Caenorhabditis elegans: one gene and its partners. The protein of the gene in region 2 purifies or fractionates together with the protein of the main gene of each other region. This does not show direct contact. Each region holds a gene or a part of one and is shown on either strand. Other genes may lie near its edges.

Region 1 (6,227 bases), on a different chromosome or scaffold from region 2:
AGTTTTAAACCTATTTTTCTGCATCTATTCGTTTCAACTTTAATTTTTTACAAACATTTGCTCATAACTCCTTCATATCCGACTATCATACATTTGATTAAGAGTTTCTAAGAAAAGAAAAAAATTAAGAAAAAAAAAAAGTAAAAACTAGTATCCTAGGAAACTTTGACAGCATGTCAATATTATAGGCGGACAAAATTCTCAAAATGAATTCTATATGTGATATTGCAAGGGGTTTTGAAAATTCAAATTAGAAACATTTATAAAGTGAAGAGACCTGAATAAAGCAGGTTTTCAAATTACAAAATATCCGCATCATAAAAACCATACAGTTCAAACAAATTGCCAACAACTAACCAAAACTTGAACCAATTCCTTCACACTAATGGAATTAGTGTTTGTTCTTATTTTGTTTGATCTAAAACTATATTTACTTATTCCTTTTAAATTCAACTCTTCATCTCAAACTCTGTGGAAATGACACTCCTAAAAAGTTAAATTTCAGTTGAACTCCGTATTAAACCAAGTGAACGGAAACAATTATGAGCGTGCACCCTGTCATTATCTGTCTTTTCATTTTCTTTTTCATTTTGCCGCCTTCTGCAGATACTACTGTGAAGTGTTTTAAAGGTACGTTGAATGAGCAGAAGAGCATTTCGTGTGCGTGACGAGTGATTCTTTAGGGTTCTCGGGAGATGGAAGGCCGTTCAAACAACGTCTTTGTCAGACAGAATATTGCATAAAGTGGGTTGAAAGAAGAAAAAGAAAAGGCAGCAAGTTTATTGGAATTTTCATTTTGCAGAACGACAGAGCCAACTGGCGGAGCTACTTACGGATGTGATGACTTTACGCCGTTTTGCAAAGTGAGCGAACAAAACGAGTTTGAAATTGAAAGAACAAATGTGCAAAGTGAAAATCAGAAAAAAAATTGTCGAAAAGATTGAATGTGGCGCAGCCCTGGTGTAGATTTTCTGGAAATTAATTATAAAAACCATACTCATTGAAAGAGCAATGTCAACTTTAACAGAAAACAAATACTAGAAGCGGACAAAACCCATATGTAGCGGACAAAGCCCAATGCTACATACTGTAACTATGGAAAAATAACGGAATACACTTTCGCTTGTAGAAAATGAGTGGGGTCAATGCCGGTTTTATCTAAATGTATGTATTGTCAATTTGCCAAAAAATGACCAACAGTGAATAAAAATCACAATAAGGATTATTTAAACTTAAATTTAAAAACAGCGTATTTTTCTATCGTCTGACACTTAACAATGGTTCCGGTCTTTGAAAAAAATATTAGAAAAATACATTCCTATATGTTATACTTGAAGCTCGATTCCCGTATTGTTTCTCAAAAGTATAATTTATGATTCTTAGTGATAGAAATTCATTCTAGAACGTTTTGTTGTTTTCTTATTCTAAAAACTCGTGAGTAACGTTTTCTTCCAGTGATTTCCATAGAAACTTCTAGACTTTTCTATTCTTTTAATCTTTTCTCAATGTTTTCTTTTTTTCAGAAAGACGAATGCGTGGTCACTTCGAAACAAAGTAAAGTCTGTTGCTGTAATACTGATCTGTGTAACTCTTCTCCAATCACTTTCTGGCCTGTGTCTCTACTATTCTTCATTTTATTTTCTTATTTTATGTCTAGTTATTAGTTTGAACTTTATTTATTTAAAAAAATATTCCGACAAAAACGGGTTATTTTCTGATGATTCACTTCTTTTCCCGAATAAATGTTTTTTCAACTAAAGGTAATTCTGTTAGTCAAACCAAATTTATTGGTGTAAAAACGAATCCAAAGAGAATAAGAGAATGTACCAGTTTTATCGATTGATCATTGCATTCTAGTAGTTGACATAATATGATAAAAAGGAAGTAAACCTTTTTTTTCGTTTTTCGTCGAACAAAGATTCGTTCAGCAATTGATTCCTTTTCTTGTTCTCAACTAGCACTGATACTGCTTAGTTTTTTCTTTTGAAAAAAGATACTGTTTCAATTTTTAATCTTTCTTGATTTTTTGAATCTTCGGAGAGAAGAAAGAATATAACTTGGCTTTCATATCCTAAGAAAATTATTTTTTTCTCGAATTTTTCCTTTATTTGAAATATTTTTGTTAATGTTTCCAAATATTTGTGAACACTTTTTGATTCACCTATTTCATATGCACAGAATTTATGTACATAAAAATAACTTACATAAAATTTCATCGGCGAGTGATGAAAATAACCAAAAGCCAGTAATTCCCAAATACAATAGATCACTCAATGATCAACTCATAGCTCTTACTATTTTTTGTTCTCGAAAATCAAATAATGTTTGTTTCACTAACTAGTTATTATTTACCTTCATTCATTTCCTCGTTTCAATCATTCCTTCGAACGCAATTTTTTGATTTCCGGCATGCGAGCTTTCTGCATAATATTACTTGTTGGATTCACCCAAGTCAATGCTCTGTTTGGAGACAGATTATTACGAGCCAGGTTAGTTCTTTGGAACAAAAATTGTTAGGCACAATTTATGAAAAACCAATTTTGAAATAATTAGAACCCTAGTAAGTGAAAATATTTTTCAACAGTTCGGTGTCCACTATTAAAAAAATAACAGTTTTGTTTAAGAATTTTATATTAATAAAGTGTTGAAGCAACTGGTGGAAATTTTAATTTTTCAACATTACTTTGCTTATTTCAAATTTATTATAAAAATGTAATATTTTATTACAGAAACCCAAAAACTGGACCATGCACGTTGAATGATGATGGACTAAAATGCAATGAAAATGGTGATTCTAAACTTTAAATTATATTAATTTATTCATAATTTTAGGATACTATGAAACTGTACAATGTAACTCTGAATCATGTTATTGTGTTACTCCTCACACTGCACTTGTTGCATACGACACACGAACCAACAATCCGAAAACCGCGCCAAAATGTGGAAGTAAGTAGAGACCATTCAATTTCCTAAGTTTTCCCAAAAGTGACGTTTATCGTTTCAGCTTGCCTTGTTTACCTCCAAAAGCTGTTTGCCGACGGAGATCCTCCAGAAAATAGTTTCGTACCAAAATGTGACGTCGGAAAAGGTATGAAAAAATAATGCTAAAGATAAAATATAAGTATTTAAGGTGATTTTGAGCCTGTACAATGTGACAGTAAGAAGAACCAATGCTACTGCGTGGACACAAATACTGGAAGAGAAATACAAGGGACACGAAAACCATTGAGTAACACAACAAAGATGAATTGCATGCAAATTGGTAGTTCAAAATCATGAATAATTTAAAATAATTCGATAATTTCAGATTTCTCCATCGATTCGTCAGCATTCCCCGCTTTTGAAAAACCAGATCCTGCCAAACCGAAAAATGATCAACCGATTGGAAAACCATGGTGTGCAAGTAACAGAAATGCTGGACATACATGCAATCAAAATAAAACTTCGATAAGAGTAAGTTGATTTTAAACCTAATAAAAAATCGGGCAAATATTTTTTTTAGTACTGGTTTGACGTTGAAACCTTCCAATGTTTCCCATTCGAACACAAAGGCTGTGGTGGAAATCAGAACTCCTATAGAACAAGTAGTGAATGCTATTTTGACTGTGTCTTGCGTAAGTTATCCACGTATTGTTTTCATGAATATAAGTGACGTTCACCAAGGAAAATGATCACAAGTAGGCCTATGGTACCAAAAATTGTAAAATGTTTCATACATTTTTGACCCAAAAGTTTGAAAACTCTGAGCCCCTCATTGACGTATTCAATTTTTAACTCAAAAATTCAATTTTTAACTCAAAAATCAAATACGATAATTGAATGCAGTTTTATTTCAGAAGACTACTTCAGTTGTGCAATGCAATCACAACCAGCTAGAAAGTCGAATGGACAATGGTATTCTTGCCCAGAAGGCCCAGATGGTCCACCAGGTATGTTTTGAGATTGATGGTTTTTTAATAAAACTTTCGAACTTTCTACTGCATAAATAATATTTGAAAATTAGCTACAAATTTTTGTGGTGAAAAACGAAACTTACAATTCCGGTTTATAAAATGTTATTTTTTATTTCATTTAAAGGATCCTGTTTTTCGGATCTGAGCTGTTTAAACGTTAGAAATACAATGTTTTAAAAACGAGTATTAGTTAGTTTAAAACTTTATTAAAGTAATAATGAACATTAAAAAAACTAACTGAAATATTGCTTCATATTTTTCAGGCTTCAAGACTACTACAACTCCAGGCCCAAAACTAACCTCTGATGGTTGTCCAAAGGGATATATTTGTTCTATGGGAGCATTCTTTGGTATTTGCTGCGAGGAGAACTTGACAAGTAAGTAATCATATTAGCGACAACCAAAACACAAAGTTTCCAGATCGCTACCAAGCAGCATTCAAACCATTATGCAAAAACAAGAAAGAAGCTTTGCAAACGAAACAGGACGATTGGTCGAGTGCAATGCTCGGAAAATCATGTTCCGATAGATTCTGTCCAAGCAGTCATACTTGTGAACATAACGAGTTTTTTGCATATTGTTGTCCGCGTTAATATGTGTGTTTTGACGTTTGTTTTCTTGCCCATTCGAACCGCCCTTCAATTCACATTCTAATTCAGGTTGTAATAAATAAGAAAAAGTATTTGTAGTTCTTTTGTTTTTCACAATGATATGTAATGTATATTAAACGACCTTTCATCTCTTCTGTCCTTTTCTTCTGTGTTGGTTTTCCACCCAGACAAATTGCCGGCCCCCTACTTTAAACGTGTCTTCTCATAGCATTGATTATTGATGCCTATGTGATATCAATATCTTTTATATTCATTTTCCCTCCTAAAAGAAATATGTTCAGAAAACTGCACCGAAACAAAGTCTTCGACCATACTAGATACTTGTTGATTTCTGATAGTGTCCTGTTCACCCCATAAAAATGTGTTAAATGCAGCAAGCAACAAAGTATATTTGTGATTGAAATTTGATGCGAATAGAATTTAAAAATAGAGTGATCACAGTTCTAGCAGAAAACGAATTTTCACAAATGAATCGGAATGATGACTTGGTCTATTTGAATTCGCTCAATGTCTCCGCAGACATGATGTGTACCCAAAAATGACTTGATTGATGATTTCACAAATGTTCCAGTTTAGTTTCGTGCTTTATGTGGAATATGCTACAAAACGCTAAAATACGATAATCGAAGGCTTCAAAACTAAACTGCGGTGGACTTTTCTAGCTCGAAATATGCAACTGAAACAGTTGTTGGGCTATTCTTTGCTCAAGAAAAAATTATTACGGCACAACAACTGTAATTTTTTTTTCTAGAAAAAAATTCATTTGAAAAATGGACGCTGATGAAAAAGTTATTAAATGAGCCGCGTAACTACATTGAAAAAATGTTAAACGTATTTTCAGAAATTGTTTTGTTAAATTGTAGAAAGAAGAATAATCAAAAATAAAACTCATAGTCAGGTAACTTTTTTTTGAATATTTTAAAGCAGAAAACGAAGGATCTCGTTTAAACTTATCAAGATTGTTTTTTGATGTCTTAGTTCAGTGTAGTTCTCTAAATAAAACAAGAAATATAGGTTTATCCGTATGTTTGCAGAAAATTAGTTCAACAGATCAAATGTTCATATTAACGTGACTTTTAAAAACATGAAAGACGGATCAGTTCAAAGTACGTTTCCGAAGTGAACACATGGAGATATTCAAAGTACATGCTGATCAAAAGAGCTTGAAATTAAAATTCGAAAATGTTCAATTGCCCTATATGCAAATTGAGAAAAACGTGCAAGTGGGGATCTTGTTAAAGATTTTGTTGTCTTAAACTTCCAGTCAAAATTTTGGCGGATTGCCAAATTTTTAAACAATACAATCTTTTAAGAAAATAAAAAGCAATGTCACATGTTCCACTCCTAGAATTTTTTACACGAATAAAAACAAAATTATAAAATTCGTAAATCGTAGAAATAATTTCTTTTGGTCTATTTCCAAAATTATTAATGAAAAAAATTGGTAATTGTCACTTTTTGACAGTAACTAAAAATTTTCCAACAATAATTTTGAAGGTAATTTTGAAACCATAGCAGTAGTTTCATATACTTTCCTCACTTGTGCTGCTCCTCCTTTAAAATGATACAGTCTACAAATCGAAGAGACTTCGAAAAATCGATAAAAGTTCGAGCAAAAACTATTAAAAACATTTCGATTTGAACCATAATTTAAAAAAAA
Region 2 (6,188 bases):
TATTAAATTCAGCTTTCATGAAATTGGCAATAAACAAGCCATAAAATATAAAATTTGAACGAGGCGCCATTAACGTCTGTCCAATGGAGCATGGTTGCACACCAGCAAGTTGTCGTCACTGAATTGATTTCTCAATCATTTTTTTGCTGTGAAAATGTTTATTTTTATATATTTTTATCTGATTTTTAATTTTTATTAATAGCAGACTTTAAATTGAAATTATTGAAATATATTCCAGTGATGGAACCAACGTATTACGGCCAGGAAACGGAAAATACTCGACAACGATCGAACAGTAATGCTGGAGGAAGCCCCGATGAACAGAATCCACAATTTGGAATGCAAGCGCAATTGGGAAAGATGGTTTGTTTTTTTAAAATTAATTTAATTTAGAATATAAAACGAAAAAAAATAATTCAAAAAAGTTTCGGTTTCTTGAAAAGAACCTTGATTGCATTAAAGCATTTTTGATTTTCAAAAATTCAGATGTGGGAAGCTGGATCAAAACAGGTTCAAGACACATTTCAATCTTATGGTCGTATCGATTTGTTTCGCCCTTATTTCGATGTCGATCCAGCAGAGGTTTGAAGAAAAATTCACAATTAAGCTTTAAACATGTATTTATAGGTCCGAACTCGTCTTATTCGGTCATTTATCCCACGAAAACCATCGCAAATACAAGTTTCACCGGATTTATATGGCCCGACTATGCTCGTACTCACCATGGTGGCGCTATTGCTGTATAACATGAAAACCAGCGGGTTCGTGTTTATTTTTATCTGTTTTTAGTAAAAAATCAAAATTTCAAATAAAATAAAAATGATTTCAGAATTGTAATTCAAAATGGAACGTTAATGGGTACGGCAATGTTCACATGCTTTGGTAGCTGGATGCTCATTTCTGGAGCACTTTGGATTGCGTGCTTTTTGTTAGCTGCTGAGCAACCATTTTTAACGATATTGTCGAGCTTTGTAAGTTAAAAAAAATAAATAGAACACCAAGAATAATTGTTTTCAGGGCTATTCTCTAACTTCACAATGCCTCGTACTTCTGTTAACCTCGCTTTTTCACTCATCTCATGATCATTTATTCTTCTTCGTGCTCCTCGCCAGTTTCTGTGTACCTTCAGCGTTAAGAATGGTTAGCTTAAAATAAAACTGAAAAAATAAATAAAAATTTTGAAATTCAGGGCCTAATAGTGTGCAATCAGTCTCGTCTTCCCGCGAATCGACTTTTACTTATTGGAATCGCAATTGCAGCTCACTTATTGCTGATCATCTATCTCCATTTCGGTTTCCACGTAGTATTAGAAGGTAATAATATTTCTATTAGAAATTTGTGTCTTAAAAATGTAAAAATTCAGAACTCGACGAAATGGTTGGAGATGCCATCGTGGATGTGAATGCTATCAAAGAAACACTTCCAGTCGCATAATTATAGTTATTTTTTTATTTTTAGCCAACGAGATGTATACAAATTGTGATGATTTTCGCTCATTTAACACGGGATATTTAATGATTTTATATTTCTTGATTCTATGGTTGTATTATTTATTGTTTTTTAGTCCTTATTTATTAAAATCTTCTCCGAACATGTATTAAACTGTTTTTTTTGCTAATCTGAAAGGTTGAGAGCCTTGTTCTATATTAATTATATTTTAAGTTTTCAGATTTTCAAGACATTATTTACAGAGTTCCCATGTCAGTTATCAGCGAGCATCAGGTCCAACTCTCGAGCTTCGATCCCATTGAAAATTGTGTGAAATCTACGTGTCCAGGATGCAAATCAAATCGAAAATATTTCTGTTATGATTGTCGAACTCCTATGCCCGGAGTTTTTACGCCAACTGTAAAGCTTCCCTGTGCCGTCGACATCGTCAAGCATCCAATGGAGAAAAATAGTAAAAGCAGTGCTCTTCACTGTAAAATTGTGGCTCCTGATCAAACTCGAGTCTTTGATTATCCAAATGTTCATGATTATTCACAAGATTCTGAAGATGAACGGCAAGGAACTGCAATCATTTTTCCGAGTAAATCTGCAATTTCTGTTGAGGAATTTGTAAAAACAAGAGGACCGATCAAACGAATTGTTGTATTAGATTGCACGTGGTTTCAAGTTGGTGTTATGCAGAAGACACCTCAAATTCAAGGTATATACTAATTAAAATCTTAAATCGTAATAATAATAATCAGATTTTTAAGGACTCCAACACGTATCTCTTCAATCATACCGTACTGCATTCTGGCGGCCTCAACACAACGTTCCCGAAACGGGTCTCGCCACGATCGAAGCAATTTATTATTCGCTTAGAGAATATCAAGAATTGGGTCTCGGACGGAAATATAGTGGAGAATTCGATGATCTTCTTTATTGGTTTTTCCATACAAAACATTTTGTCGATGGGAAACAGGCTGATTATTTGAGGCGGAAAGATGAAGAGAGAAGCGAAGAAAAATAATATTAAATGCTTTTCTAAATTTATTTAAAAAATTTTTCAGTTTTTGTTTTTTCATTGTTGAATATTTGAATTTTGACTTGTTAGAAATCTCAGTTGTTGTTTGTTACTTTACACTCAATTCTTTCTCCTCTGCGATTTTCCTCGATTTGCATGACCGGTTTCCCAAATTTTTCCACACATGTGAAAGAATAAAAAAGAAAATGTTTCCCTTCCGTCGTATTTTTCTATTTTTAATCGTTTAATCCACTTGTTTTAAAAACAATCGAACATACTTTTGACGAGTCTTTCAGATTATTGATTTTTTCAAAGAGAATTCCAGTTATGTTGAAGCCGTTGTTCGGAAAAGCGGACAAAACACCCGCCGACGTGGTGAAGAATCTGCGGGATGCATTGCTGGTTATTGATCGAGTGAGATTCTTTTTTTAAATATCATTTTTATTTATTTTAAATTTTCCAGCATGGAACCAACACAAGTGAGCGGAAAGTCGAAAAAGCTATCGAAGAAACAGCGAAAATGTTGGCATTGGCAAAAACGTTCATTTACGGATCAGACGCAAACGAGCCGAACAATGAGCAAGTGACCCAGTTGGCTCAGGAAGTTTATAACGCAAATGTGCTCCCGATGCTCATTAAACATTTGCACAAATTTGAATTCGAATGTAAGAAGGATGTGGCATCGGTATGTGGATTCTAAAAATCAAAAATTATATAACGCAGTCACGAAATGTTGCAACTTTCGCACCAAAAATACGGTACGCGGTCTTGGCACGATACGTTTTTGCGAAATGTAAAAATTTAACAAGTTTCGATGAAAATATACTTATAATTATTTTTAAAAAAATTAAAAACACTCAAATTCGTGATAAAAACTAGATATGAAAATTTCGCAGCAACAAAAGTTTGAAAATACAGTACTCCTTAAAGGCACACACCCCTCTGCATTAAAAACAATTGAATTCGTCATGTCGAGACCGAGTACCGTATATTGGCGTCTGGTTGATATCAAGCTCTGAAAATTTTATATTTTTTAAATGAATAAATGATAATTTTAGGTGTTCAATAATTTGCTCCGTCGTCAAATTGGAACAAGATCACCAACTGTGGAATACTTGGCTGCAAGACCAGAAATTCTCATCACTCTTCTTCTTGGGTTAGTTCAAAGTCTAAAAGTTATCCAAAAAAAAAAAATTCTCTAGATACGAGCAACCAGATATTGCCCTGACATGCGGTTCGATGCTCCGTGAAGCTGTCCGCCATGAGCATCTTGCTCGAATTGTTCTCTATTCTGAATATTTCCAACGGTTCTTCGTTTTTGTTCAATCTGACGTTTTCGATATCGCCACTGATGCATTTTCTACATTCAAAGATTTGATGACAAAACATAAGAATATGTGTGCAGAGTATTTGGATAATAATTACGATCGATTTTTCGGTGAGAACTTTTGATATATTAAATAAAAAATTATGTTATTACAGGCCAATACTCGGCGCTCACAAACTCAGAAAACTACGTGACCCGACGCCAATCGCTGAAACTGCTCGGCGAGCTTCTCCTCGATCGACATAATTTCAGCACAATGAACAAATATATCACAAGTCCAGAGAATCTGAAAACAGTGATGGAATTGTTGAGAGACAAGAGACGGAATATCCAGTACGAGGCTTTCCACGTTTTTAAGGTATTTCTTTTGATATTTCAGATAAATATTTGGATTGAAAATAAAACAAGTTATTGTATGTGAATCAAACATCTTGAAAAATGGTTGAAGATGAAAAAAAGTCTTAAATTGAATTTTAAGAAGAATAAGTTTATTAATTTTACATCTTTACGTTTTATTCCAAGAAATTTAAGAAAATTTCCAAAAAAAATCTATAAAACCCCATAATTTCAGATCTTCGTCGCGAATCCAAACAAGCCACGTCCAATCACTGATATTTTGACAAGAAATCGTGATAAACTCGTAGAATTTCTCACTGCATTTCACAATGATCGAACTAACGACGAGCAATTCAATGACGAAAAGGCGTATCTCATCAAGCAGATACAAGAACTTCGTGTCTGATTACGGAATGTGACAAAAAATATTTTATTTAATTCTCACAATCCATATGTTTTTATTCCAATGTTTTATTTCTTTGTGAGTGGCTTTGTGTAGTGCATCCTTATCCTTATCAATATTCAAAAAAAAACCACAATTATCATTTGTGAAATTTTCGGGGGTTACTGTAGCTATAATATTAAGATACAGTAGTACCTCCCCGCCCTCCAATCGCCAAAAATTTTGTTCCATCCACACCTCGCTTTAGGCATCGATCTTTACCGTCTTTCTCTGCAAACAAAATATAATCGTTCCTTTAAAAGAATCCCCCATATTAAAATCATGTACGAATACAAAAATATCCATCCCCTTTCCGTCTGTTTTCCCTCTTATTTTACGGTTTTTCACATGTTAAGTTAAGGTTTATTTCCTTCTTCATCAAAGAATTTGATTTTCTCGCTCTATCCATGATCATTGTCTTTTTTTTTTGTTTTATGATATTTCAAACGATTTCTTGATTCTATTTTTATGACTTCAAATGTCAGAAACATCGATTTTTTAGCATGAAAATTTTCAAATCAAAGACGCTATAACAGTTCTCTTCTCATTCGACATCCTCTTCACATGCTTTTCGATAATTGATTTTCCCATTTTTTGATCTATAGTTCGGAGGCACTCAATCGCCTGGTCACGGACTTTGGGATGGGGAGAGCAGAATAACATCTTCAAGAAAGTTGACTTAAATACAAAATTTATTTTAAAATTTACCCCAAGCATCACGGGAATCAATAAATCCATCGACTTGCTCAGATCATCATTATTTGAATTTTCCGCAAGAATTTCCTGAATCTGAACGAGTGTTCTTGCTGGATTTTGAACAGAAGTCGGCTGAAAATTGACACATTTGCAAAAATTGAAAAATTCGCTTTTTGAAATCGCGCTCCAATGCCAAATAGAAACGCTCCGCCCTCAGGCGTTGGGTCTCGTTAGGTACGGCGGCAAAACTGAATTCAAACGTTTTGCTTGAAGACGGGTGAAATCAGGAAAAAATAATTGAAAAAGTTTGAATGTACGGATTTGCCGTGAATACCTCACGAGACCCAACATTTGGGGGCGGAGTGTGTCCAACTGGCCGTGGAGCGCGATTCAATAAACGCATTTTTATGCGTCTCTATAATAAGACGAGAACGGTACGGTAGATTGAAAAGTTTGACTCGTGCAAAGACCATCTTTCTGCGAAAAGTAGCAAAACTTACTTTATCAGCTTTTGCAACGATTTGTTCGTTTTTCTCCTTCTTTTTCCCACTTGGTTTCGATTTTTTGTGATTCTTCATTTTTTCACGAAGCATGTCAGCCATCATTTCCGTTTGGATTTCTTCTGGCACTTTCATTTTCGTGGAATTTTTTTCAGGAATGAACAATATTTGAACAATCTAAATACCGTGAACTCTCTAAAAATAATATATAAAAAATATATACCCCCCCCCCCCACCCCCAATCAATCTACGTTTCACCAATAAAAACGAAGAGTAATTGAAAGAATTCGTCATTTTCTACTATTTTTCTTTCAAATCTAAACCGAAATGTACGGTAATCGGAATAAAACGATTGAATCCGAAATGTTCATCAAATCGAAGCGAAAAAATGAGAGGTCGTTGACGTCATCAACATCAGCCACATCTTCTGATGCA
Region 3 (5,240 bases), on a different chromosome or scaffold from region 2:
TGGAGAAGCTGGAACATAGTGCTGAAATGGAAGAATCACTTCCATTGAAGGTGATTATCGATTTTTTTTTGTAATTTATTGATTTTCTTCAGAAACATCAAATTATGAAAAGAGCAATTTTTTAGTGTTTGTAGATCAATTTTGAGTCCTCTAACTTCAAAATGAACCATTTTAGAGAAGTTTCAAAATTGTGATTTTTGCCACTTTTTTGCCATTTTTAATGTTTTTTGACGGGTTAAACCTAGTTTTTCTGAATTCTGCATATATTAATTACCCGTTTTCAATCAATTTAGACAACTTTTTATTTTTGCCCATTTTCATTTTTCAGCCATCTAATGACTGTACTTTTTTTTTTCTTTGGGCAAAATTTTTTTTTTTTTTTTCAAAAACGTACTGATTTTAACGGAAAATTTCGAATTTCCGATAAAAAATTAGATTTTTCGTAAAATTTTCTAATTTTTCTCGTTTCAGGACGGCCGTAAAGCAGTTGGTGGTCTCTTGTCGGCGAAAGTTCGAATTCGTCAACCAATTGGTGATGCAAAAGCTCAACATATTGCCCAGAAATGGCTCATTTTAGATAATTAAATGGATTCTTTCTACTTGATTCGATGTTTTAAATGTGTTTTTTTTTGAATATAATATAAATATTTGGTTTATCGGAAGAGTTAACGACTTTTTAATTTTTTCAGAGGAGTAACATTTATATATGCTGAATTTAGAAAAAAGTGGCAAAAATGGCAAAAAAAACGGCAAAAATCACAATTTTGAAACTTCTCTAAAATGGTTATTTTTTAAGTTAGAGGACTCAAAATTGATCTCTAAACCTTAAAAAATTGCCCTTTTTCAAATATTGATGGTTTTGTACGTTTTCAGAAAAATTATTTTTTTGCCTAAATTAAAAAAAAGGACAGTTAGAGGACTCAAAATTGATCTCTGAACCCTAAAAAACTTTTTGAAATTTTCGAAAAAAAATCTGTTTTATCAGGCTCTGAGACAACACGCATTCATTAATAATTACGAGCATTATATTTTTGATAAAGAGAGAGCATCATGAACAATTGTGTATGAAAAGATTTATATTAAATAAAAAGTTTACATTAAATAAATAAATGAAAATTATTTTTTTTCGAAAAATATGAAATTATCGGTGAAAAATCGTTAAAATCCGGCCAAAAAAGCGGAAAATTTGCGGAGAAGGCTGCCCATTTCAGCGTAATCGGCAATTTTGATAGCATCTTCCAATTCACACCATTTCCAATTTTGATGTTCATGAGATAGTTGAACGTCGTCTGGATTGTTGAGCTTGGCGAGCCAATATTTCACTGATTTTGGCTTCCCTTTTGCCTGTAAATTTAGCGAAATTTGGGATTTTTTTTAGTGTTTAGTTCAATTTTCAAATGAAAAATCGATTTAAAAAATATGTAAATTCGCTGAAAACCCAATTTTTTATCGATTTTTTCTTTCAAAATTCGGAAAAATTGCGTTTTTTTCCAGAATTTTCCCGGAAATTTTGCCATTTTTCCTAAAAATCGATACATTTCACAAAACCAAAAAAAAAATTTTTTTCAGTGTAAAAACCTGGAAAAAATTGAATTTTCAGGGTCTTGTGAAAAAAAAATCAATTTTTTTTACAAAATTTACGAAAAAAGGAAATTTCTTTCGTTTTCGCCGGTAAATATCGATTTTTCTATCAGAAAATCGAAAAATCCCGAATTTTCCCAAAAAAAGCTTAAAATGGATAAGTTTTCCGAAAAAATCGATATTTTCGTGTTTTTTTCCGCAAAATTGCAGAAAAATTGAATTTTTGGTGAAAAATCGGAGATTTTTTTCAAAAAATTTTTCAATGAAAATTTAGTTTTAGAAAAATCGATAATTTGTTGATTTTCTAAAATAAATTATCGATTTTTCCATTTAAAAAATTCAAAAAAATTCAAAAAAAAAAAAAATTCAAAAAAAATTTTCGATTTTCTATTTAAAAAATCGATAATTTATTTTTTTTTCGAAAATTCGCACAAAATTATCGATTTTTCGGGTTTTTAATCGAAAATTTCGAAAATATCGATTTTTTTTCGAAATTTTTTAAATCGATTTTTTATTAAAAATTCGAAAAATTCGAAATTATCGATTTTCGCAGGATATTATTTAATTTTTAATTTTTTCGATTTTTCCATCGGAAAAACGATAATTTATTGATTATCGAAATTAAATTATCGATTTTTTCATTAAAAAATTCGAAAATTTTGAATATATCATACTTCGCCGGAAATTATCGATTTTTCCATCAAAAAATCGATAAAAATTATCGATTTTCTTACACACACACACACACCTCATAAAAGAGTGTTTCATGACAATCTTCATGAATTGTCAGTTGCTCTTTTGTAATATTAGCTTCTTCCTTAGTCTCACGAATTGCCGCCTGCCATTCATCTTCTCCTGGATCCACGTGACCTTTTGGTGGGGTCCAGTGATGTGGTGGATAGGAGGCTTGAAGCAGGAGAAACTCGATTTTTCCCGCCAACTTCCGGTAGATCACAAGTCCCGCGGCTTTTACGACCATTTTTTGTTGGCGCTGAAAAAAACTGGATTTTTTTTTTTAGAAAATATCGATTTTTTGTTAAAATTGGATTAAAAAAAATAGGAGCACACGACAAAAAGCTCCAAATTTTGAAAAAAATTAATTTTAGGCGTAAAATGGCGGGAAACTCGAAATTTTGATCAGAAAAATCGGAATTTTTTTTCAAAAACATATTTTCGGTAAACTTTACGCTGAAAATTTCAAATTTTCGAGTTTGGTGCTCCGAACGCAACTCAGCGCCCCAGCAGAGCCGAAAAGCTGCTCTTTGGGCTTCAAATCGGAAGTTTATAGCTTCCTATTTGGAGCTCACAGAGCAAAAGCTTCTCGGCGCTGCTGGGGCGGTTTTGTGCAATTTTAAGGTGAAAATTTGAATTTTTGACTGAAAAATCCAATTTTTTTTGGCAAAAATTGAGAAAAACTGAAAAAAAAATTCGAAAAGGACGTTTAGACGGCCTAAAAATTTTTTTTTCGGTGAATAATTGGATTTTCCTAAGAAATTTTGCTACAAAAATTAAAAAAAAAAGAATTTTCTGGTTTTCTAGAAAAAATATAGAGAAAACTTCTAGTTTTTTTCAATTTCTGCAATTTTTATAGACAAATTGATTTTTGGAAACATTTTCGCGTTTCTGAATTACTAAAAAACATTTTAAAAATTAGAAAAAAATTTTGGAGTACTGTAGCTCTAAAAGTACGTCAAAACTGTAGCTTACAAGAAAATGAACCAAATTTCGAAAAAAGTTGATTTTAGGGGTAAAAATGGCAGGAAATTCGAAAATTAGTTTAGAAAATTTCAGAATTTTCCAGTTTCTGCCACCGAACGCAACTCTGCGCCCCAGCAGAGCCGAAAAGCTGCTCGTTGGGCTTCAAATCGAAAGTTTATAGCTTCCTATTTGAAGCTCACAGAGCAAAAGCTTCTCGGCGCTCACGTGTAGTCAAGCTGTCTCATCGGTGTTTTTCGGTGTATTGGCCGCAAACACGCGGCGCATAAATTGACGCGCAAATGCAGACAAGCGGGCAGGATTTACGAGAGATTGTGATTTTTATTTTATTTTCTTTCATTCCTTTAAAATATAACTTTTTGTCATTTTTAAAGTTAATTTTTTGTTGAAAACTGGTCTATGGACCACCACGAACTGGAAAAGCATTGTTAGCTCGTGCAGTTGCTCATCACACTGAGTGCACATTTATTCGAGTTTCCGGCTCCGAGTTGGTGCAGAAGTTTATTGGAGAATAAACACGAATGGTAAGTGGATCGACATAATAATCTTTACATTTACAATGCTTTCAGGTGCATGAAGTCTTCGTGATGGCTCGTGAGCATGCTCCATCGATCATTTTCATGGATTAAATCGATCCAATCGGACCAAGCAGAGTTAAAGAATCTAGTGGAGGAGATTCGGAAGTTCAGAGAACTATGCTCGAGCTGATCAATCAACTCGATGGATTTGAGGCAACGAAGAAGAGTATTAAGGTAGGGAAAATGCAAAAACTTTCTAATTTCTAAATATATATGTTCAGGTTATCATGGCAACCAACCGTATCGACATCCTCGACACCGAGCAAATTCCTGGAGCATCGGGAGCCGAAGTCAAGTCAGTCTGTTTCGAGGCTGGTATGTTTGCGCTCCGTTAGCGACGTATTCATGTGACACGAGAGGATTTCGAGATGGCTGTTGGAAAGGTTATGCAGAAGGATTCGGAGAAGAATGAAGAATATGTCCATTAAGAAGAAGAATATGTCCATTAAGAAGTTGTGGAAATAAGGATACATTTCGATTTTTTATCAATTACCCCCTTTTCACTGATTTTATTGTAAAAATGAGCCCCATTTATTTATTGAAATTTAATTCCCTTCACTCGTCTTCGACCAACCTACCGAGCACTTTTTGCTGAATAAATAATACAATCTGGATGATTTATTCGAGTAAAAAAATCTAAATTTTTATTTTTAACATGAAAAAGCATTTATTGTTTCCCATATTCGTCGGAAATCTCTCCATCTTTGTGCATTGAAATGAGAATATCACATCCGCCGACGAACTCTCCCTTCACATAGACTTGTGGAATTGTTGGCCATTAGCTGAAGATTTTGACGCCTTCTCTCAGCTCCTGATCGGTCAGAACGTTGTAGTCTTGGAATTTTACATTGTGGAAGTCGAGAACCTGAAACGGAAATTTGATTTTAGGGATTTTCGGATTATTATAAAGAAAGATCCCCGGATCTATATCTAACCTCGAAGCGGAGGTTCTTGATGAACTTGGCGTCGACTTCCTTCTATGGAGAGGAAAATCTTTGGCTTCGTGATTCCAATACGGTGAGCCGTGTTGTTCTGGTTGTGATTGGTGTGATTCTTCGACTTCCATGCATCGTGTTGCCTTCAAAATTTGTACTTTTCACTTTGCAATTCGATTTCAACACAAACCTGTGTGAGCTACTTAAACTTCTCACTCTCTCTCGACGATCTCGAACTCTCCGATCTGCCCGCGCTCACTGAGGCCCGGAAACGGACGAAACCCTGAAAAAAACGCTGGTTAGATAAGGAAAAGACGGATTGAGAAAGTATAGAACCGAAAAGTACATGTAAAGCTTATTAACATTATCGTTTTCATCGAGAACATATATGAAACGGCTTCATTCGCCCAACAATCCGTTCTCTCACGAT

The links.
Region 1: the proteins of mop-25.2 (region 2) and B0222.5 fractionate together in Caenorhabditis elegans (co-fractionation; one large-scale study listed by BioGRID). This does not show direct contact.
Region 3: the proteins of mop-25.2 (region 2) and ndx-4 fractionate together in Caenorhabditis elegans (co-fractionation; one large-scale study listed by BioGRID). This does not show direct contact.

Annotation. Positions count from the first base shown.
Region 1 is NC_003283.11:9,151,052-9,157,278, reverse strand, and holds B0222.5 (BPTI/Kunitz inhibitor domain-containing protein), read left to right. Parts: upstream 1-2,406; 5' UTR 2,407-2,409; coding exon 2,410-2,489; intron 2,490-2,729; coding exon 2,730-2,788; intron 2,789-2,832; coding exon 2,833-2,949; intron 2,950-3,007; coding exon 3,008-3,091; intron 3,092-3,133; coding exon 3,134-3,265; intron 3,266-3,310; coding exon 3,311-3,456; intron 3,457-3,505; coding exon 3,506-3,617; intron 3,618-3,839; coding exon 3,840-3,932; intron 3,933-4,219; coding exon 4,220-4,333; intron 4,334-4,376; coding exon 4,377-4,549; 3' UTR 4,550-4,958; downstream 4,959-6,227. Other genes in the region: B0222.15 (Activin_recp domain-containing protein), read left to right, coding at 543-630, 684-744, 803-863, 1,524-1,664.
Region 2 is NC_003280.10:9,700,291-9,706,478, reverse strand, and holds mop-25.2 (MO25-like protein 2), read left to right. Parts: upstream 1-2,777; 5' UTR 2,778-2,779; coding exon 2,780-2,866; intron 2,867-2,915; coding exon 2,916-3,137; intron 3,138-3,510; coding exon 3,511-3,608; intron 3,609-3,654; coding exon 3,655-3,890; intron 3,891-3,934; coding exon 3,935-4,137; intron 4,138-4,350; coding exon 4,351-4,521; 3' UTR 4,522-5,070; downstream 5,071-6,188. Other genes in the region: Y53C12A.3 (Protein YIPF), read left to right, coding at 241-363, 487-582, 628-761, 830-971, 1,018-1,140, 1,190-1,313, 1,364-1,434; Y53C12A.10 (tRNA-uridine aminocarboxypropyltransferase 1), read left to right, coding at 1,699-2,149, 2,202-2,458; Y53C12A.7 (HEAT repeat-containing protein), read right to left, coding at 5,071-5,220, 5,266-5,385, 5,754-5,888; Y53C12A.8 (uncharacterized protein), read left to right, coding at 6,081-6,188. UniProt on the Caenorhabditis elegans protein: Regulates asymmetric cell division in Q.p neuroblast lineage. Plays a role in cell shedding during embryogenesis.
Region 3 is NC_003279.8:13,791,581-13,796,820, forward strand, and holds ndx-4 (Bis(5'-nucleosyl)-tetraphosphatase [asymmetrical]), read right to left. Parts: upstream 2,573-5,240; 5' UTR 2,561-2,572; coding exon 2,330-2,560; intron 1,345-2,329; coding exon 1,159-1,344; 3' UTR 1,059-1,158; downstream 1-1,058. Other genes in the region: ccct-1 (Coiled-coil and C2 domain-containing protein 1-like), read left to right, coding at 1-50, 472-585; Y37H9A.5 (uncharacterized protein), read right to left, coding at 4,719-4,740, 4,811-4,941. UniProt on the Caenorhabditis elegans protein: Asymmetrically hydrolyzes Ap4A to yield AMP and ATP.